Elephas maximus indicus: one gene and its partner. The protein of the gene in region 1 interacts with the protein of each later gene in a biochemical or structural test. Links are inferred from orthologs where the notes say so. Each region holds a gene or a part of one and is shown in the gene's direction. Other genes may lie near its edges.

Evidence for each region. The genes of interacting proteins can lie anywhere in the genome.
Region 2: the proteins of WWP1 (region 1) and DVL2 form a complex in vitro, tested with the Homo sapiens proteins (2 studies listed by BioGRID, with this or other methods). The link is inferred for Elephas maximus indicus from reciprocal best matches to the Homo sapiens genes WWP1 and DVL2.

Annotation. Positions count from the first base shown.
Region 1 is NC_064833.1:55,408,843-55,419,531, reverse strand, and holds the start of WWP1 (NEDD4-like E3 ubiquitin-protein ligase WWP1), read left to right. Parts: upstream 1-6,378; 5' UTR 6,379-6,581; intron 6,582-6,587; exon of another isoform or gene 6,588-9,274; intron 9,275-10,689. UniProt on the Homo sapiens protein: E3 ubiquitin-protein ligase which accepts ubiquitin from an E2 ubiquitin-conjugating enzyme in the form of a thioester and then directly transfers the ubiquitin to targeted substrates.
Region 2 is NC_064837.1:13,616,766-13,627,422, forward strand, and holds the start of DVL2 (segment polarity protein dishevelled homolog DVL-2), read left to right. Parts: upstream 1-6,546; 5' UTR 6,547-6,803; coding exon 6,804-6,997; intron 6,998-9,869; coding exon 9,870-9,939; intron 9,940-10,241; coding exon 10,242-10,387; intron 10,388-10,514; coding exon 10,515-10,624; intron 10,625-10,657. Other genes in the region: GABARAP (gamma-aminobutyric acid receptor-associated protein), read left to right, coding at 271-336; PHF23 (PHD finger protein 23), read left to right, coding at 1,882-1,915, 3,453-3,484, 3,644-3,736, 4,321-5,158, 5,260-5,474.

The DNA of each region.
Region 1 (10,689 bases):
ACCCTATAGGACAGAGTAGAGCTGCCCCGTAGGGTTTCCAAAGAGTGCCTGGTGGGTTCAAACTGCTGACCTTTTGGTTAGCAGCCAAACTCTAAACCACTACGCCACCAGGGTTTCCTGTGAGAAAAGGAAAACTCAAATACTTTTCAATAAAACAAGCAGCAGAAAAGTGGTAAGATGTATCCTGTCAAAAGCAGAAACTTGCAAAACCCAGAAAAACAAGGCAGTCTCATCAAGTTCTGGCTCTCACAAGTTTCACTGTAAAATGCATCAATTTTTTTAGACTGCAGCTAATGCAGGGCTCAGAACGAAATTTATACTCTAAATGTTTGTGTTAGAAAAGAAGAAAAGCCCTAAATGAATAATATAAACTTCTACCCTAAGTGGAAGAAGCTAGAAAAAGAAGAGCAAATTAACCTAAGATAAATAAAAACACGGAAATAATAAACATAAAAGCTGAAATGAAATAGAAAATGTACAAACAACACACGCAAAAAACAATGAAACCATGGCATCTTCTTTGAAGAGACCAATAAAACCAATGTACCTCTCTAGTTAGATTCATCGGGTAAAAAATATAATACTAATATTTTAGTATTATAAAAATGCTAATGTTAGGAACGGAAGATGAGACATCACTACAGTCCTACAGATATTACAGTATATTAAAAGGCATTAAAGAGATTATGAACAACTTCAGGCCAAAAAATTTGATGACTTAGAGGAAATGGACAAATATCTTGACAGATACAAATTACCATAACTGGCACAAGAAGAAATAGAAAATTCAAATCACCTTATATCTAATAAAGAATTTAAAGTCATAATTTAAAACTTTCCCACAAAGAAAACTCCAGGCCTAGATATCTTCGCTGGCGAAAACTTTCAAACGTTTAAGAAATAAATAATAGCAATTTTACACAAATTCTTTCAGAAAATAGATAAGGAACACTTCCAAGCTCATTTTATGAGACCAGTCTTATCCTAATAACAAAACTAGACGAAGACATTATAAGAAAAGAAACCTACAGAACAATATCTCTCATAAGTTTAAACAAAAAAAACTAGGTCCCTTAAAATCTTTTTTAAAATTAGTAAAAAGAACCCAGCAATAATAAAAAGGGTAACACATCATGACCAACTGTGATTTAGCATAGGAATGTAAGGTTGGTTGAACATTTGAAAATCAAGTTAATTCATCATACCAATAGTTTAAAAATGAAAACAATAACAACAACCAATCATCTCAATAGATAACAAACAAAAAAAAGTATTTGATAAAAATTTAAAACTCATTCATGAGAAAAACTCTCAGCAAACCGGGAAAAGAAGAGAACCTCGTCAACCTGATAAAGAGTATAAAACAAAAAACTTACAAATAATACTATTCTTAATGATAAAACACTGAATGCTTTCCCTTATTGAAGCCCCTGCAGAGGCTTACCCTGCTCCTTCACGGTTCCCTGCAGTTTCTAACTGCGACCTGGCCCACAGACCCTAATCATGGTTTGAATTTGGCACCGAAATCCCACACATGCACAAACAAAGATCTTGGCACATGCACAGGACCTGAAAAGCCATGGCCCCGAACTTGACCTTGGACTTGACCTTCGCCAGAGAGGAAGATGTTCTCCTGCACACAGCTGCAACCAAGCCTGTTTGCAAAGCAAGATGTCCTTTCCTTTGCTAAATGACTCAGCCCCTGGATTGACAAATATGGACATGAGAGGGACTGGGGTGTTGGATTTGGGGTGCCAATCCCACCCCCTAGGGACTGGAGGGCATAAAAGCTCCAAGCTCCCCCGGGGCTGGGAGCCTGTGGTCTTTTGGCTGCCAGACCTCACCTTGCTCCTTGTTTGTGCAAGCAATAAATTTCCACTTTGTTTCCCTTGCAACTGGTGGTGTGGTATCCATCTTATTTCTATCGGCTAATAAAACAGGACAAGACCAAGACAAGGATATCCTTTCTCACTATATCTGTTAAGTACTGAAGAAATACAACTCTCTTTATTAACAGAGACACAATTGTATACATGGCAACTTCTAAGAAATTGACAAAACATTACTAGAACTAATAAGTGAATTTTTTTTAGCATATAAGGCCAATATTAAAAAATCCCATGTAAGGCAGTAAAAAAAAAAAAAAAAAAAAAAATATGAGCCATGGATATGAAGCATACCCCTACCCTTTCACAAACACATGCAGAAGAGGAAACTTTTAAGGTAGGAGAGGGGAACGGACACTTAGGTTAGTGCAGGGCTTCTCAACCTCAGCACTATCGCCATTTTATACTGGATAAAACTTTGTTGCTGGAGGGTAGAGGTGGAAGGGGAGTGTCCGGTGCATTGTAGGATGCTTAGCAGCATCCCTAGCCTCTGCCCACTAGATGCCACTGGCAACCCCACCCCGGGCTATGACAATCAGTATGTCTCAAGACACTGCCAAATGTTCCCTGGAATGCAAAATTGTTCCTGTGGAGAGCCATTGGGTTAGTGTATTTATTATTTATTGCCGCATAACAAATTTAGTGGCTTAAAACAATAAACATTTTTTACCTCACAGTTTCTACACATCTGAAATTTGAGAGCTACATAGCTGAGTAGTTCTGGTACAGGATATCTCTTGAAGTTGCAGTCAAGATGTCAGCTGGGATTGCAGTCATCTGAAGGCTTGACTGGGGCTGGAGGATCTGCTTCCAAGATGTCACACTCACAAGGAGACTCAGATCCTTGCCGGTTGTTGGCAGCAGGTCTCAGTTCCTTTCCACATAGGCCTCTTCACAGGGCTGTTTGATATGTTCTCACAACATGGCAGCTGCCTTCTCCCAGAGGGACTGATCTGAGAGTAAGAAGTCAAATGCCTTTTTATGACCTAGTCTCAGAAGGTACACAGTCACCTCTGCCATATTGTATCCATTGGGAATTGGGCTCCACTTTTTGAAGGGAAGGAGCCCTGGTGGCATAGCGGTTAAGAGCTATGGCTGTTAACCAAAAGGTCAGCAGTTCAAATCCACCAGCCCAGCCACTCCTTGGAAACCCTATGGGCCAGTTCTACTCTGTCCCATAGGGTCACTGTGAGTTGGAATCAACTCAACAGCAACCGTTTTTTTTTCCGAAGAGAAAAGTATCGACAAATTTGTGGATATATTTTAGAACTTCCACAGCTAGAAAAGAATTCTCTAACACGTTGAGGAAGACTATGAGAAAAACTATCTAGAGAAAATAAAAGATCATGCTAAAGGATTAAACTACGTAAAGGGAAAAAGCAAAATTATCAAACAAGTAGGGGAAAAAAAAAATGCAGATAAATTATATGACCTTAGAATGGAAAAGGACTTGTGAAGCAAAAAATAAAGGAAGAAAATAAAAATGGAAAACACTAATAGGTTTAACTAGGATCAATATCTTCATTATACAAAGCATCCTTTTGTGAATAACCTAGTAGGAAAATGGACAATGGACCAACAATAAGATACCATATTTGCTCATAAGAAAAAATGCCATGATGACTTCAGTGCAGTGAAGAAGAACAAGCATATTCTCTCATACAGTGCTGTGGGGAAATTCATAAAAACAATTACAACGATAATAATTTATTGACTATGTGTTACACTTATATGTTACACAGCCTTAAGTATTTTACATGTAGCAACTCATTAACTTCTTGCCATCATATGGTAGATAGCATTATACCAAATTTTTAGTTGAGGCCCAGTCAGGTTAATTAATTTGGGCAAGTCTTATAATTTATAGGTGGCAGCAGGGTTATCTTATCCATTAGGCACAATAGGCACAGTGCCTCGGGCCTGTAATACTTTTAGGGGCCCATAAAAATGTTTTATTTTCTTTCAAAATCAGAAGGGAAAAAAATAAACATTTAAGTTGAAGAAAACAGTTTAATGTATAATGTCACTATATTTGTCTTTGTACCAATGTTGTGTAAAACACAATTTTTAATACAATTTATGGAGGAAGAGGCCCACATAGGCAAAAGTGCCTACAGCCCATAAAGTCAGAATGTGGCCATGGGTGGCAGAGCTCTGTTTTGATCCTAAGCCTAGCCTATTTCTGGAAGGCAACTTGCCAATATGTTTCAAAAGGACTAAAATTGTTCATACCTTTTGATTATTGTTAGGAATTTTATCAAAGGCAGTAAATAAGGATGTGGATAAAGATTTACAAAAACATATTTATTTATAATAGTGTTATTTGAAGCCACACAAACATTTGCTAATAAAAGTCTGGTTTAATATTGGGTGTCAACATAGGGGCCAGGGTTAATATTTCTACACGGAACTGAGCTGTACGGAGCGGTGTGTAATCGGGGAATCTTTAAGCGAGACACAAGGGAGCAGGCAAACAGAAGGAGGCCTGTATACATTCTCAAGATGGAGACCACTACTGGGTATTTTTATGGAATTTCTAAGAGAGTTCTTGTAAGCACCTGTTTCAAGGGACTGGAGAGGAAAAAGATGAGGACAAGGTCAGACCAAACATTATGTGTTAAAGCAGGGGGATGATGGGTGTGCACACTCCAGGAACTGGAAAATGTTTGTCAGAACAGGAGGAACAGAGCTTGTGGGCAATAAAGAACTCTTGACTGTCATGTTGATCTTTGCCTTAAAAGTTCTGAAAAAGCCCATGGAAGATTTAAAGCAATGGAGTGGTAAGCTCAGAGGTCTATCTTAGAGAGGTCATTGTGGATACGGTGAGAAGTCAGAGGGCAGGAATTAATGCAACCAAGGGGGAGTGTGCATGCATGCCTTCATGAAGAGATATTTATTGAATCCTACAAATATTCATGGAGTGTCAGTTCTTGGTACGTAACCAAAGAAATCAAACCCATCGCCGTGAGTCAATTCTGACTCATTACAAACCCATAGGACACAGAACTACTCCAAAGAGTTTCCAAGGAGTGCCTGGTGGATTCAAACTGCAGACCTCTTGGTTAGCAGTCGTAGCTCTTAACCACTATGCCACCAGGGTTTGTATGTAACTCTTTTGAAAAGATTAGTTATGAGGGAAGAAGGGAGAGAACTGGAGGGTGTTTTAAGGTCAAGAAAGAATTTAAGACAGAGGAGTCTGAAACGTGATTATACTGAGGAGCTGTAGCCAATAGAGAGGGTGAGGTTAAAGACTGGTCACAGGAGGGAGGGGACCAGTGGAGAAGTTGGCTTTGGAGAGGAGCAGGGGCCCCAAATCTCTGAGACTGAAGGAAAACAAGTAAGCGTGGGTGTGGATGTAGGTAATTTGTGGAGGTCGGGTGAGGCGATTGGGCAAAAATTGTAGAATTCCATGCCTGATGGCCTTTGTTATCTTTCTGAAGTAGAAGGCCAGGTAATCTGATCAGAAATGTGGTCACCACTGACTTCTATTTGAAGGGTGACTTTCTTCTGAAAGCTCGACTGGGGTTGGAGGATCTGCTTCCAAGTGCCAACAACACTCCTGTAAACCAGCTGACTCGTTTGTATAGTGCATATAACGACAACAAAAAGTTGCTGTTGAGTAGACCCAGACTCATGGTAACCACATGTGTGTCCGAGTAGAAATTATACTCCATAGGGTTTTCGATGGCTGATTTTTTGGAAGTATATCTCCAGGCGTTTCTTCTGAGGTGCCTCTGGGTGGACTGGAACCACTAACCTTTTGGCATTGGCCATTTGCACCCCCCGCTGGATAACAGAGTCTGCCTTATAGGATTGCTGTGTGGATTAATTGTGCCAACACACGTACTTGCTCCATAAGTATTGGCTTTAACGCTGGGCTGATGTGGGGGTGAGGGAGTAATGTTTTGATTACAGAACTAATAAAATGGACTGGAGGTCTTCTGCTATGACTTATCTGTTAAAAGCAATTTACTCTTGAAACGGGTTTTGTGTCAAACATTCAGCGAGGAGTATTTATTAATAGCCTATTTTGCCGTAAAGCATTCAAGACAAGAACACCAGTGCCCCCGAGGAACTTACTTGAGGTCACGCACCCCGTTATGCTAAGCACAGTAAAGTCAAGTCAGCAGTACCCGCCGCCAGTTTGGGGAAACCTCTTCCCAAATCTCGGCGACGGCACCGCCCCTTCCACAGGTTCAGGCCCCACCCCCTTCTCCCTCTGGCAGGCCCTCCCACTAGACCGCTCCGAAGACCCGGAGGAGCGGAGTTTTCTAAAGGCATCATCGGGGCGCCCTCGCTGCGCATGCTCGCGAGAAGCCGGATTCCGGGTCCGGAGTTGGAGGCTTTGGGTGGCCGCGGCGCAGCGCGCGGTGCCGGGGCCGGCGGGGAGGCGCGCGCTCGGAGCGCGGCGCCGGTGACGCGGGCACGCGGCGCGCTCCCGAGGAGGGAGGTGTGGGGTCGCCTGGGGGTGGCGCGTGGCCGGGGTGGGGTGGGGGGAGGGTCGGGTGTCGGCGAGAGCGGCGTGCGGGTTCCGAGAGGCTGCAGGCGGCCTGGGCTGCCAGGGCCGACGCCTGGGTGGCTGTCGCCGCCGCGTCTACTGCGAGATGGCGATCTTGGGCGCGGAGGGGTGAGGGCGCCCGCCGCAGGAGGAGGCGCCGCTGCCGTGGCCGCCGGGAGCCGACGGCTTCGCGCCGGGTAAGGACGCCGCGAGGCGGGGGGCGGGCGGCGCGGCTGCGGGCCCCGAGCCTTAGCTGCGGTCCCGGAGCCCGGAGCGGCCAGTGCCCGGGCGGGAATCTCGAAAGGCGGTCGGGTGCCGGTCCGCGCCGTCCTGGCCGCCTTCTCCAGCCCGGGGACCGGGAGTTTGCTGGGGTGGGGTCACGGGTCTTGCCCCGAGTTGTAGGGGCAGAGGCAGAGGCCTGTGCTGGCTGATATTGGAGCGGAGCGAGGTGTTTCCGTGACCCTGCAGCCGCAGTTCTCAGGCTCCACTTCACCTTCTTTCTACCTTCTCTTCCTTTCCTTAACACCTCCCCTCTGAACACAAATATGTGGACTTTTGCCCGTGCGCTGACTTTCACCGCAATTCAGCCGTTTCAAAACCAGGACTCCAACCTTAGAACGTCTTTTTCTGACATGTTCTTAAGACTCCGGTTCTTCACTGGCTCTGCACCTCCCCCCAACACAACCCCCACCTCCACCTTTGTGACCTGGCAGGTCCCAGTGACCTTGCAGTTTTTACAGTCCTTATCTGTGATTTGGACCCTCTCCTTTCATTCTTATCTTTTTATTTTGTAGTTTGCCCATTGCTTTTACAACCTTTAAATTAGCAGTGTGTGAACAGTGCTTTCTTTACTCCATCGATTTGGAGTTGAGCTTCCTTTGCTCCAGTAATAATATGACGCCTTCATTGTCAAAGAAAATAAGTATTATTTTGCAGTTTTTACTTCTGGATAGAATATTTTTCCAATGGCTTGATTGGGTTTCTGCTTCTCTTTGAGAAGTCTAACCTTTTTTGTGTAGGTCAGTGTGCAAAAAGATTTGAGTGTCTGCTTGAAAATGCTGTTGGTAATAGTTGTGGACAAGAAAATGTCCAAAGTTATCTTTTTTTATTCCTTTTGTGTTTTTGCCTTGAATACCTGGTTTACAGTTGTCTGCAAGAGTTCACTTATGTATAAACCCACTTTACCACTCACTAAGGCCCTACGTGTATTATACAAGCAAGGTGCACCATGTATTGCACCTTTTAAAAAAGAATTCATTCATGTGATTTGTCTTTAGCCATAAAGTAGTAACCTAGCAGTGACTGGAAATGCTCATTTTTTTATAAATAGTTAATATTTTTTAAACTAAAAACTTAATAGCTAAGTGTTGAGAGCTACACAAAATTCTTTGGGACGTAGTTTATTAACATTTTCAGATAGTTCTTCCCTTAAAATGCATAACTGCCTATAAGACCTATGACCCCACAGTTTTGAAAAGCAGTAGCTAGTTACATTTTTTGGAAGCCTAGCATGATAACCAAAAGCAAACCCATTGCCATCCTATAAATTCCGACTCATAGTGACCCTGGAGGGCAGAGTAGGTGTCCAAGGCTGTAAATCTTTAGGGAAGCCGACTGGCACGTCTTTGTCCCACACAGTGGCTTGGTGGGTTCAAACCGCAGAGCTTTTGCTTAGCAGATGAGTACTTAACCACCATACCACCAGGGCTCCTCTGGCATGATAGAGGATGTCACAGATAAGGTTTTTACCTTCAAAGAGATCATAATCTTTGCTCTTTACCCCATGCTGGCTGGAATTTCTTTTACTTTCTTGCACAATTATTAAGCATCTACTGCATGACCGCCAACCTTTTGGCTAGTAGTCAAATGCTTAGCCATTTATGCTAGCCAGGGACCTTTTGTACAGGAATAGAGGGTGATAAAGCTTGAAGTAAAAATTTGGGCTAGCTTATGGGTTGTTTTTAATGTGACCTTGAATTTAGTAGGTGGTTAAGGTTTCACAGGTGATGTTTAAGTTGGGTGTGAAATGATTAAAGCTCTGTTTTAGTGGTACTAATCTGGCCGCAGTGTGAATTGGACTAGGGAGAGCCTGGAGGTAGAAAGACCTCTCGATTGCTGTGGTCATAGCTAGCAAAAGTTTTGCACTTTGCCAGTAATGGGAATGGAAAGGAGGAAGGGTGTAGAACAGACAGAACTTGATGATGAGAAAAAAAATGAAGAAAGTAAAATGTTAAACTAAGATTCTGACCCAGGTTAGTTGGGAGAGTGGTGGTATCATTTTGAGCATATCCATGTAAGCTTTTACCTTTTTTTAAGCAGCATATGTTTGTTATTTTATGTCAGTAGTTTACTGACCTTTTTGGAATAACTGACCTTTTGTGAAACTAAAGAAATCTGCTGGACTGGAATATCCCTATTTGTACCTGCACTTTGTGGATATAATTTCAGAGGAGTCCGTGAACCTAGTGAAGCTCATCCATGGAACCCATTGGACAGGTTTGGGTGGAGGTCAGCTCTCAGAATTAACCTGGAATCTTTTTACAATGGTAGAACTCAGCTTCCCCCATCCTGGCAAGAACCTCTACAGCAGAGAGGATTGCTTAGAGACTTATCTCCTCACACTTGTGATGGGGTTTACAGTTTACATAGAATTTTGACTCACTTACTTCTTTTATATTACAGAACAAACTAGCCCAAGAAGCTAAATGATCTACCTTAAGTATTTCAATTACCAAGTGGGCAAAGTGGCATCACGAGTCACTTGACAATGATGATTTTCTTTCTTGTATGAAGAGAATGCGACTGATTGACCATCGGTTGGATATGGTTGAATCTGGGAGGTTTCTTCTAGTTTTTAACATTTTTGTGATTCTTGGATCTTAGGTTTTCGGTAAGAGCATCTGTACCCTTATTAAATGCCCTCCCGCCCCCACACCCTTCCCACTCCCACAGGATTAAGTAGCTAAGTCTTCCTAGCATGGTTAAAGCATAATTTGATTAGTAAACAGTTGATTTTTATGCACCTATAACATTTTCTCCCTGGTAGTAGGGAACCAAGGAGTCCCTAGGTGACACAGCAGTTAAGTGCATGGCTACTAACCGAAGGGTTGGAGGTTCAAACCTCTCCAGAGGCACCTTGGAAGGCTTGGTGATCTGCTTCCAAAAGGTCACAGCCATGAAAACCCTATGGAGCACAGTTCTACTATGAAGCACATAGGGTCACCATGAGTCAGAATCTACTGTATGGCTGCTGGTTACTGATTTTAGTAGGGAACCAGACCAAATTATTATTCGATGTCTTCTGTAGCCCTAGAAACTTTGATTCCTTAATTAATAGAAAGATTGTTGTCTTTTTTACTCTTTCTATAAAAATATGACATATTTGTAACAAGCAGCAGAAAAACCAGTAAATTCCTCTTTGTGGTAGTATCCAAGGAAGTAGTTACTAATACTTAATGGAGGAAAAATGTCCAAGAAAAAGCACATATATGGATGAATTTTACTTTTTTGCTGGCGTTAAGAAAAATATTGTACCTTAGTATAGCATTTTGCATTTTTTTTACAATGTTGTATATATTTTATCATTTGATTCTCATGATAACTAAGCAGTAGGTAGGTCAGTTGCTTTTTAGATGAGCACACTAAGGCTCAAACAAGTTAAAAAATTAAATCTCCAAGGTACGTGGTTAGTAAGTGGCAGAACTAGAACGAAAACCCAAGTATTTTTATTCCTAGCTTGGTGTTCTTTTTCCACTAAACTACTGACTCATCATTTACAAGGGAAACTTAATTGAGGGTTATATGTAAAGAAATTTAAATTTACCTGTTTGAATCTGTGTTAGACAGTTGTACTGTGTAGAGCTGAATTTGTAATTTTTTCTCCTTTGTGTTAAAATGGTAACCTCGTTGTAGTGGTTGTTGGTAGGTAATTTTGACATTTATCGTTCTAACAAGGGAAAGCAAAAGTCGATTTCTCGTCTAGATAAGTACATAGGTGAAATGCAGATACTAATTTCTCTTTGAAAATCTGTCCATTTTAATTCTACTGCTTTTATTGATGCAGTTTACTTACCTTTTATCAAAGTCTACTAAATGAATAATTTCTTTTATAAGGATCGGCACAAAGCTTGTTCCGATGAGGCAGAGATTAAAGAGGTCCCAAATATCCAACTTTTCCAAATTCTGTTCTACTCCATCATCTCTAACATCAACTATCCCTCACCTCCCAGTACTCTCCCACCCATCTTTAGGTTCCATAATTTGTTGCAGTGTCTCACAGAACTCATGAACCATATCAAGGAAATG
Region 2 (10,657 bases), on another chromosome or scaffold:
TGAGCTGGAGGAACTATTTTGATCAGATTCACCCTAGTCCCTCTCCCCATTCCAAAGCAGCAGGAAACAGTTTGAGATCTTTTTGCCCAGGACTGCTGCTAGGAATAATACTGCTCGACTGCTAGGGCATGAAGTCAGTGTGGAAGAGTCAGGCACTGATTTTTGGGGTCGTCAGAAAGATTGGTTTTTGAAGAATGTGTCCGGGCTGTGGGTGGTTCAAATAACTGAAGCCCCAATGCCTGACCACCATCATTTTTTACTTTCACCCAGGAACACCACGAAGAAGACTTCTTTCTATACATTGCCTACAGTGATGAAAGTGTCTACGGTCTGTGAAGCTGCTGCCCCTGAGGTGGGGGGGGGGTCCCATTCTACAAAGACAAAGGTGGCCCCCCTTTCTTGACCTACTCCTCTTTCTTCAGGCTCCAACACCACTTGAGGCTTTCTCCAACCCCTCCTAGCAGGAGGAGTAATAGTGGAGATGGCCCCTAGTACCTCTCCTTTCTCTTTTCCTCTTCACCTTTCTCTGCTCCCTTTCCCATTCTGCTTCGGTTTTCTTGGTTGTCAATTTCACATCCAGGGATTGTTTTGGTTTCTGTTCCCTTTCTAACCACCCAAAGGGCTCAGAGCCCCAACACTCCCTTTCACTGCCTTCTATTTTGGGGGTAGATGAAAGGGACTGAAATTGTGGGGGGAAAGGTAGGAGGCATATCAATAAAGAGGAAACCACCAAGCTGAATGGATTGCTGCCTTGTGTTGCCCCCTCCCTCGCTTTGTTTTTTAGCTTTCTACAGGCATCATGGGCTTCAGTGGTGGGGAAAGAGGAGGAATGGGGACAGGCTGGAGGAATAGGAATGTATTGGGTTTATTCTGTTGGTGTTGCACTTCAGCTGCATAAAAATGTGCTTTGGTTATGCTATCTGATGGAAGGAATACTCCATCATTTCATGAAACTTCAGTTTTATATACGTGTGTATTGGGTCCTGATGTAAAAAATATATATATTTTTTCCTTTACCGTGGGTTCCTGTGAAGAAAGTTTGAAAGCACTTGCTTTAGATAACCCCATCCAAGTTTGTTATAAACATCTGGATTATGGAGAAGATTTTCGTTTGTGGGAGCTATTAAAAGAACTCTATCCTCAGTTGCATGTCACCTGGCCAGATTTTGTGCAGGTGTGTGTGATCCTGTGGAGTGGAAGCAGAGGGTGGGCGCTCAGCGGGAGGAGGGAGCCATTATCCTCAGGAGAACTTCGTCTCCCGGCAACCTCTTCTCCGCCTGGCCGGAAATGGGGCGGTCTCTCGGGGGAAAAAGACGAAGCGGAATGAGGCAGTATGGTGTCCGAGAATTCTAATCCCTTCTTCCTTATCTTTTTTTGGTCCCTCCCCGCCTACATTTCCCAGGGCCCTGCGCGTGCTTTTCCGCTCTACCCTCTAGCTCCCAATCTCCCCGCCACTCCCGGGGACGGAGGAGAGGAGGCGCTTAGTGAGCATGCGCCAATCCGTGGCTTGCTGGGAACTGCAGTCCTTGAGGCTTATGCAGTCCCCTTTCCGCTGTGTTAGGACAGACCACAAGTCCCTTTGTGCATTGCGCGTCGGCGCCGGCGGAGGGAGGGTGAAGAGAAAGGGAGGGAGGGAGGGAGGAGGAGGAGGAGAGAGCAGGCGGCCGGCGGCGCGGGGGGAGGGGGCCCGGTCCGGGAGTGCGGGAGGCTGTGGTTGAGGGAGGCGGCGGCAGCGGCAACGGCTAGCGGACACGAGTCACAACCGGACTGAGGCAGACACCTCCGTGGAGCAAGTCATTAGGAGCACCGAGCACCGGAGGCGGCACCGGGATCCCCGGCTCAGGGGAGGGGGGCGCCGGACCGGGAGGAGGGGAGGGGGCGATGCTGGAAGCCATGGCGGAGCCCAGTCCCGAAGGTGAGCTCTCGACCGGCACAGATCGCTGAGCTGGTGGGGGGCGGGCCAGGAATCAATTGGCAAACTTGGAGGTCGAGCCCCAGAACCCAGCGGGGGAGCGCGGGGTGGGGGTCGGGGTCCTGGCCCTGGGGGTGAAGAGCGACGAGTTGAGAGATGCTGGAGGAAGAGGAGTGGGAGACCGGATTGGGGATAGTTGGAGATCCGACGCTGTGTGTGGGGGGGAGGTGGGGGGTGGGAACTGAAAACCCGGAGCCTCGGGGGTTAGGAGCCGAAAGGGCCGCAGGCAGGTTGGGGCCTTGGAGCTGGAAGGTTGGGGGAATCTGGGAGCCGAGAGTTGTTGGGCAGGGAGGACGTGGAAGAGGGCTGAGCGAGGGGCGCGGTAGTTCGCCGAGGTGGGGGAGTTGGTGGTGGTGGTTCCCGAGCTCCCGGTAGTTGCCGCCAGAGACAGCCGGGTGATTGCTGGAGGGTTGGGCAGGTAGTTGTGGGGGGAAAGGGGGGCCTGGTATTGTCTGCGGAAAGGGGACCTGTAACGGGGGTAGTTGTGGAGAGAGGGCCGGGAAGCGAGGAGAGCTAGGTAGTTGCAGAGGGCGGTGGGATCGGAGGGGGGTGAAGACCGGCGAGTCGCGGGAGGGGGAACTGGCGAGGGTTAGAGCCTGGGAGTTGCGGAGGGTGATGGGGGGCGGTCGTGGTGGTTTCTGTGGAGGAAGAGAGTCGCTGATTGTGGGGGGAAGCTAGAGTTTAGGGGTCCGTAGCCTAGTGACTTGGTGAGTACGGGGGCGGAGGGAAGGCGGCCGGAGAGAGCTCGGAACAGGGCCCGGGGGCCCGGCGGGGAACCCAAGAAGCTCGAGACGGGGAGGGGCCAAAGCCCCGGATGGGGGCGGAGGGAGGGCGAAATTGTGGGGAGCGCGGTATGGGGGGGGCAGGTGGGGCCGCGTCCGGGTTAGAGCTCGCTGGTCCGTCCCGGACACAAAGTAGCGTTGAATGTGCGTGCGTGTGGGTTTGGGGTGGAGGGTGAGGGGCGCGCCGGGCCTCGTGCTCGAGTAGAAGGGGCCGGAGGGCGGGGAGCGGTTCAGCGTGGTCATCCCGGACTCGGGGGGCCGGCGGATGGCGTGAGGTTCCAGAGGGCTCGGGGCAGTAGAGTGCGCCTGAGTAGGAACTCGGCACGGTCGCCTTGTGAAGGACGGGGCGGGCGGCGCCCGGGTTCTGCCCTAGGAGCTGTACGGTGGGGTGGGGCGTTAAGAGATCCGAGTAGACTGGAGTCTACAGAAACCGTGAGTTTGGGGGGGGGAGGCGGGGCTCCCGGCCTCCGGTAGGGGGAAGAGGAGCGCTATAACGAGGCTTGGGAGGGCCCCGGGCCCAGGCTCCGCCCCTTGTGGGACGGGAGGGGAGCAGGGACGATCGGGCACAGCTGGGGGCCTGCCGACTGGCTGGGGGACCTGGGAGAACAGGGGGTTCACTTGGGACCTCTAAGGTTTAGAGGTGGGGATTTTAAATGGACTGTTCCAGGGCTTTGACTCAGCTTTTATTGCTTTCACAGATCCACCTCCGACCCTTAAGCCAGAGACTCAGGTGAGTTTTCCCCTACCTTTACACATCAGTATTTATGCTCTCCCCCACCCCCCATGCATCTCTTCTAGCTTTCCCACTTTAGGGATTCCGCCTTTGGGGATGCTTCTCTTAAAACTCCAGTCTGTGCCCTCAGTGTGATCCTTGTTTTCTTCTTTTCAGCCACCAGAGAAACGGCGGAGAACAATTGAAGATTTCAACAAATTTTGCAGTTTTGTTTTGGCCTATGCTGGTTACATACCTCCTAGCAAAGAGGTAGGGTCAGGAGAATAACTGGTTTGAGGATGGTGTCTTTGGATTCTTGGAAGGGCTGTTGAGTAAATGAGGTTGTGTTAGTTATATATGTAAGACTAGAGAAATTGGAAACGTGAGGGTTCTGTTGGGAAAACGAGTATTTGCGGGGGAGGATAATAGAGATAGGTGGCTTGGGTAACAGTGATGGAAGGGGCTCTTGGGTTGTTAGTCAAGATTTTGAAATGGTTTTGGGGGTACTGTTAATGGAAGGTGTTTCCGGATGAGTTTTAGGGAGGTGAAAATGGTAACAAAGGAGGCAGTACAAAAGTAGATTAAGAAATGTGCCTCTGATTTGTGGGAATACAGTATTTCAAAGGCCCTGGTAAGGAGCAGATAGTTAGAATTTGAAAACAGAGGTAACATGGAAGTGCTCAAGAACAGATGCTGATAGAAATTGGGGTCTGGATAAATTTTCTGAGTGAGCTTTGTTGGTTGGGGCAGGATATTTTGGGGGAGATCTAGTCCCTGGTTTTCAGGTTGGGTTTCTGGAGGGGCTTAAACGCCACTGGGCCCCCTGCTGACTCTGGTCTCTTTTCCCTGTTAAGGAAAGTGACTGGCCAGCCTCCGGCTCCAGCTCCCCATTGCGAGGTGAGAGTGCAGCAGACAGTGATGGCTGGGACTCAGCCCCCTCAGATCTCCGAACCATCCAGACCTTTGTTAAGAAAGCAAAGTCATCAAAGAGAAGGGCAGCCCAGTCGGGTTCCACCCAGCCAGGACCTCCAAGGTCCACTTTCTCTCGCCTTCAGGCCCCTGACAGTGCCACCCTGCTTGAGAAGATGAAGCTCAAGGACTCTCTCTTTGATCTAGATGGCCCCAAAGTGGCATCTCCCCTGTCCCCCACATCCCTGACACATGCATCCCGGCCCCCTGTTCCTCTCACCCCAGTGCCCCTTTCTCAGGGGGATCTCACCCAGCCTCCTCGAAAGAAGGACCGAAAGAACCGAAAGTTGGGGCCAGGAGGTGGGGCTGGCTTTGGGGTTCTTCGGAGACCTCGGCCAACCCCTGGCGATGGGGAAAAGAGGTCTCGAATCAAGAAGAGCAAGAAACGGAAGTTGAAAAAGGCAGAGCGAGGGGATAGACTCCCACCTCCTGGGCCTCCCCGGGCACCCCCCAGTGATACAGACTCTGAAGAGGAGGAGGAGGAAGAGGAAGAAGAAGAGGAAGAGGAAATGGCAGCAGTGGTAGGGGCTGAAGCCCCAGCCCCTGTGTTCCCAACACCCCCTGAGGCTCCTAGGCCCCCTGCTACAGGGCCCCCTGAAGGAGCTCCTCCCACTGACAGTGAAAGCAAGGAGGTGGGCAGCACTGAAACAAGCCAAGATGGAGATGCCAGCTCTAGTGAAGGCGAGATGCGGGTCATGGATGAGGACATCATGGTAGAATCAGGTAAGGGGGTTGAGAGCTGTTCAAGGGTAGCTGGGAGAATGGAGTTGGGGGTGTTGTGGACTTAAAAACTCAAGCAGAATATCAAACTTCCTTTTCCCCAGGTGATGACTCGTGGGATCTGATCACGTGTTACTGCCGAAAGCCCTTTGCAGGACGGCCCATGATTGAGTGCAGCCTGTGTGGGACGTGGATCCACCTCTCCTGTGCTAAGATTAAGAAGACCAATGTCCCTGACTTCTTTTACTGCCAAAAATGCAAGGAACTTCGGCCAGAGGCGCGGCGGTTAGGGGGCCCTCCGAAATCTGGAGAGCCTTGACATCACCAGTGCCAGGCTGGAACTTCTAATTGACAACATGACTTGGGAACTGAGCCTTGGGGTCCTCAGCCCATCCCCTGAAGCTTGGACATTGTCCCACTTCAAGGCAGGAACTCCCAAGGGAGACTTGCTCTGGAAATGAGGGTCTCATGTTCCCATCCTCCCCTTCCTCCTCCCCCTCCAACATCTGGACTTGAACGTGGACCCACTGCAGTTGAGGGCGAGAGGTTGTCTGGGTCCCTAGACACACAATCCCTGCCCATTGGACCTGCCATCCTTCACTTTTTGGGTCAGGGTTGGAATTGGGAAGGAATGGGGCAGCTGTCTATAAAACTCTAGTGTAAATATTAGCACCCCCTTCCCTCATCGTTTTTTCTCCTATCTCACTCCTCATTTATTTTCTTATACACCGGTTGTATTTTTAATTTTGGACTTCCCCTTTTGGGCATGGCAGCTCAAAGGTGGAGTACCAAAGTCTGGCCGAGAGGGGAAGGAAAGCAGAAAGGTGACATTTCTTTCATCTCTTGTTTTTAATAATATCGGCTAGCTGTTTGTACAGATGGCCCGTGTGTTGTAAATAAAGCGGAGTGGGCTCTTTTGTGTTCATAGCCCTTACTGTCCTGCATCGGAGGGAGGTTTTGGGAAAGATGGGAGAACGCCTCAGAGTCCCAGCTAGAACCGCCCCTGCTCCTGGGCCTTTCCCACCCAGGATGCTCAGGCCTCAGTTGGCATTGCCCCATCCCACTCCCTGCTTAGGACCCCCACACGCACACTCCAGTGGATCAGAGTTGCCTCGCGCTCCCAGGTGTGGTGGGACTGGCAGCCTGCTGCCTGAGGGCAGAGGCCCAATTCAGCCAGGGTGCTCAGAGGACGAGGGTGGGGACACTTTCGGGGGCGGGGCAGTTGAGGGTTGGGAGACCGTTGCTGAGGGCAGCGATCACGTGGCAGGGGCGCGAGGCGGAGCTACGCAGTCACGTGACTGGGAAGTGTCACGTGATCCAGGGACGGTGCGGGGGGAGCGTGGCGGGCCGAGTTAGGCCACGTGACGTGAGCAGAGGTGGGCGGGGCACTGGGGGGCGCCCGCGACGTCGGCGGCAGTGGCGCGCGGCGGCGGCGGAGTCCGCGTCTTTAGGTCGCGCCCCCACGGCCCGCCCCCGCCCCGGCTGTCCGCTTGTCTGACCCCGACCGTCTCCATCCCTTGGGCACGTCTGGGGGACTGGTCCGGTTCTGTGCCTGCCCGCGCGTCAGTGTGCGGCTGTGCGCAGGCGCGGCGGGGGTGCTTAGCCCCTTTGGGTGGGCGGCGGAGCACAGGAGCGCGCGGGCGAGACCATGGCGGGCAGCGGCGCGGGGGGCGGTGGTGTCGGGGAGACGAAGGTGATTTACCACTTGGATGAGGAAGAGACTCCCTATCTAGTGAAGATCCCCGTCCCCGCTGAGCGCATCACCCTCGGCGATTTCAAGAGCGTCCTGCAGCGGCCCGCGGGAGCCAAGTACTTTTTCAAGTCCATGGATCAGGATTTCGGGTGAGCGCGAGGCCTAGACTGATGGGGGCTGTGCTGGAGTGGATTAGGCGATATTGAAGGGCCCAGGTCTATTCTGGGGCATATTGGGATTTTTCTGGTCGATAGTGGAGTCGATTGTACTAAGCTGGGGGTAGATTGACTATCCCGGGACCAACGAGATTGTGCTTGACAAGGTTGAGGCACACGGAGCTGTAGGACAGACTGGGCTATCCTAAACTAGATTACAGAAGATTAGACTGTACTGAAATATATTAGGGCGAACTGGTTTATTTGGGGGTATTCTGGACTGTACTGAGCCAAGTGGGTCTGTCCTCTGGTAGTTCAGTATATTCTGAGCAGTTCTGTAGCACCCAGGCTATTTAGGGATATTCTTTTATCTCCTGATGTAGATTGGCCGGCCTTGGGGCAATTTTGGGGATTCTGGTGTGTATTAGGGCACACAGGGTTGTTTTGGACATTCTGTTGTGATTAGGTGCTGTCAAGTTGGTTCTGACTCATAATGACATCGTGTATAACAGAACGAGTTGTTAGTGGGCTCTGTGCTATCCTCACAGTAGTATGTTTGAGCCAGGTGTTGGCAGCCACTGTGTCTGTCTGTCTCATCGAGGATCTTCTTTTTCGCTGACTCTCTGCGTTGTAAAGCATGATGTTGTCCAGATATTGGATGTTTTTGTGTATAGTGATACAGACAGTACTGTACTGGGATCTTTTAGGCTGTCCTGAAGTGGAGTAGGCTATTCTGGAGACACTTAAAACAAAAACCAAACCCAGTGCCGTCTAGTCGATTCTGACTCATGGCGACCCTAAAGGACAGATTAGAACTGCCCCATAGAGTTTCCAAGGAGCACCTGGTGGATTTGAACTGCCAACCTTTTGGTTCACAGCCGTAGCACTTAACCACTACGCCACCAGGGTTTCCTGGAGACACTTAGACCATTCCCATTTCTAGTGGGGCAGACGTGGTTGTATTGGTTGTTCTAGTTTCTATTGGGGCAGACGTGGTTTTACTGGGTCAGAGTACTGGAGCAGACAGGGTTGTTGGGGGTCTGTACTAATACAGGGAGCTTTATTGAGAATTTCTAGTCTATATTGCTGCAGACAGCTATGTGTGGGCATGTTCTAGGCTGTGCTAGAGCTAACCTGGAGTGATTTGGAACATTTTGGATTATTCTGGGCTAGATTGGGACTATAAATAATGCGAAGTAAATCCTTTTGTGTGTAGAGCTTTTGGGACTGAGCCATCTACTTTCTCAGCCTCAGCTTTTCCGAAGGCAGGTTGGATTAGGCTGGGATAGCCTGGGTGCTACCTAGAGTGAGTGGTTAGCTTTGGGAGAGTGGTCCTGTCTTGGGAGTTATCCTGAGTTTCAATCAAGGTTCTTCAGTTTGTCAGCAGTGTAATTTTGGGCAATTTATTGAACTTTTGTGCCTTGATTTCCTCACCTGTGAGATGGAGTAAAACGTTTAGCAAAGGTGTACAGCCCAGGATATTCACCGAGTGGTAGTTATTATTAGAACTGAGGCTGACTAGTCCGTAAACTAGGTTATGGAATAACTCATTTTGGAGTAGGCTCGGTTATGTTGAGACTGGGTTAAGTTGGGAAGGAAGCGACATTATTCTGAGACAGATTGGTAGTGACCGAGCTGTTTTGACATGGACCAGGTCACATTCTGATAGCAAATGGCTTGAGTTGGCATATATTCAGGCTCACAAAACCATATTAGGTGAAGACAGGATACTCTAATTTTGGTGCGAGGGCATGTGCCTGAGAGAGGAGGAACCAAGAGGAACCAAAGTAGACAGTCTCATGGTTCATATATTCATTTAGCCAAATATCTGCTAGTACGTAATAAATGTTGTGTACAGTGCTGTGTGGTCAGAACATGGTGTTGAACGGAATAGACATTAATGATTTGATGTGGGGGTTGAGAAGAAGGTTAAGCCTAATTCGCCTTAAGGAACCCAAGGGAGAACTAACTCACCAGGCTGGACTTCGGGATTTGTCAGGATGACCTTTCCGTCTTGAGTAGATTGCTTAGGGCAGAGTTTTGTGTTAGGTGAAGCACAGGAGAATCAGAAGATGGGTTCCCTCCTCCTTGAGGCTTTCAGCCTAATGAGGAGGTAACTAGTCTTTGGTTTAACGGGCATTTTCATCTAGGCAAAGACAGCATGTTTGGCTAGATCTCTGGAAGTGAGCTAGAGAAAACTGAAGGAAAGCATGAGTGAAGGAGATGTAGGTGAGGACCAAAGCCATTTTGGGAAGAAGGTGTACGAAGAGCAGAGATGGAGGCTGGGGGATCTACCAGCAAGGCTCCTTAGGTTAGAAAGATATTTTCAGCTGCTGCGGTAACCATGACGGAGCCTTGGTGGCACAGTGGTTAAGCACTTGGTTGCTTGCTGAAAGATTGGCCATTCAAATCCACCAGCTGCTTTGCGGGAGAAAGATGTGGCAGCCTGCTTCTGTAAAGGTTACAGCCTTGGAAACCTTGTGGGGCAGTTCCACTCTGCCCCACAGGGTCTCTTTGGGTCAGAATTGACTCAGTGGGAATGGGTTTGGTTTGGGGGGTAACCATAGAAGATGGCCTTTACATTTGGGTGGAAAGGTTTAAATCAGACTGAGGGAAGTCTTTGGAGCAGCACTGAGCCCTTGAGGATGAGCTGGGAAGAGAAAGAAAGATTAGAGAAGGGAATTGAATTTGGAGAGTTTTCGGGTAGGAGGGAGCTGTTTCAGTGTAAGAGAAGAGGGCCTGGACAAGAGAGGAAAGCCAGCTCGCTTGAGCTGGAGGAAGATAGAGCAATGGCAGAAATTTTGAAATGGGGAGGGAGTGAGAGAGCTAGTCCAGCCTCACTGACCTTTATCTGGTCTCTCGGCAGAGTGGTGAAGGAAGAAATTTCCGACGACAATGCTCGCCTTCCTTGCTTCAACGGAAGGGTGGTGTCCTGGGTAAGGGACCCTGGTTCTGAGGGCCCAGTGCCTTCTGCATTGCCGAGCTCCACCAAGCCTCACTCTGTTTCTGCAGGGCTGCCCCTGCCTGGTTGTGGAAGCCCTGGCTTTGCCTTCCTACTCTTTTGGAGAGCTGGCTGGGGCCCCTCAGCCCACTTCTGGAGCCCCTCCTGTTAGCTGCTGCTTTTTTGGGCTCTTCTCCAGGCTCTCTCAGACCTTGTCCCCTTTTCTAATCCTTTCTCTTCCATCACGTATGCCCCACCTCTGAATAGATCCATTTCGTATTGTTTGCATCTTTCTAGCTAGTGTCATCAGATAACCCCCAACCCGAGATGGCTCCCCCAGCCCATGAGCCTCGCACAGACCTGGTGCCTCCACCTCCACCACTACCCCCTTTGCCACCAGAGAGGACCAGTGGCATTGGGGACTCCAGGCCTCCATCTTTCCAGTGAGTTCCTGGCATTCTTGAGTCCAGGGGAGGAGATGAGGTGGGGATGCTAGCCCCCGAGGAGGGGAATGGAGGATTTGGAGTCCTGCCCCACTGATGGGGGTGGAAACCATCTCTGCCCATCCAGCCCTAACGTCTCCAGCAGCCGTGAAAACCTGGAGCCAGAGACAGAAACAGAGTCAGTCGTGTCTCTGAGGCGGGAGCGGCCTCGTAGGAGAGACAGCAGTGAGCACGGCGGTGAGGGGGCCAGGCTCTGGAGGCTGGGCAGAG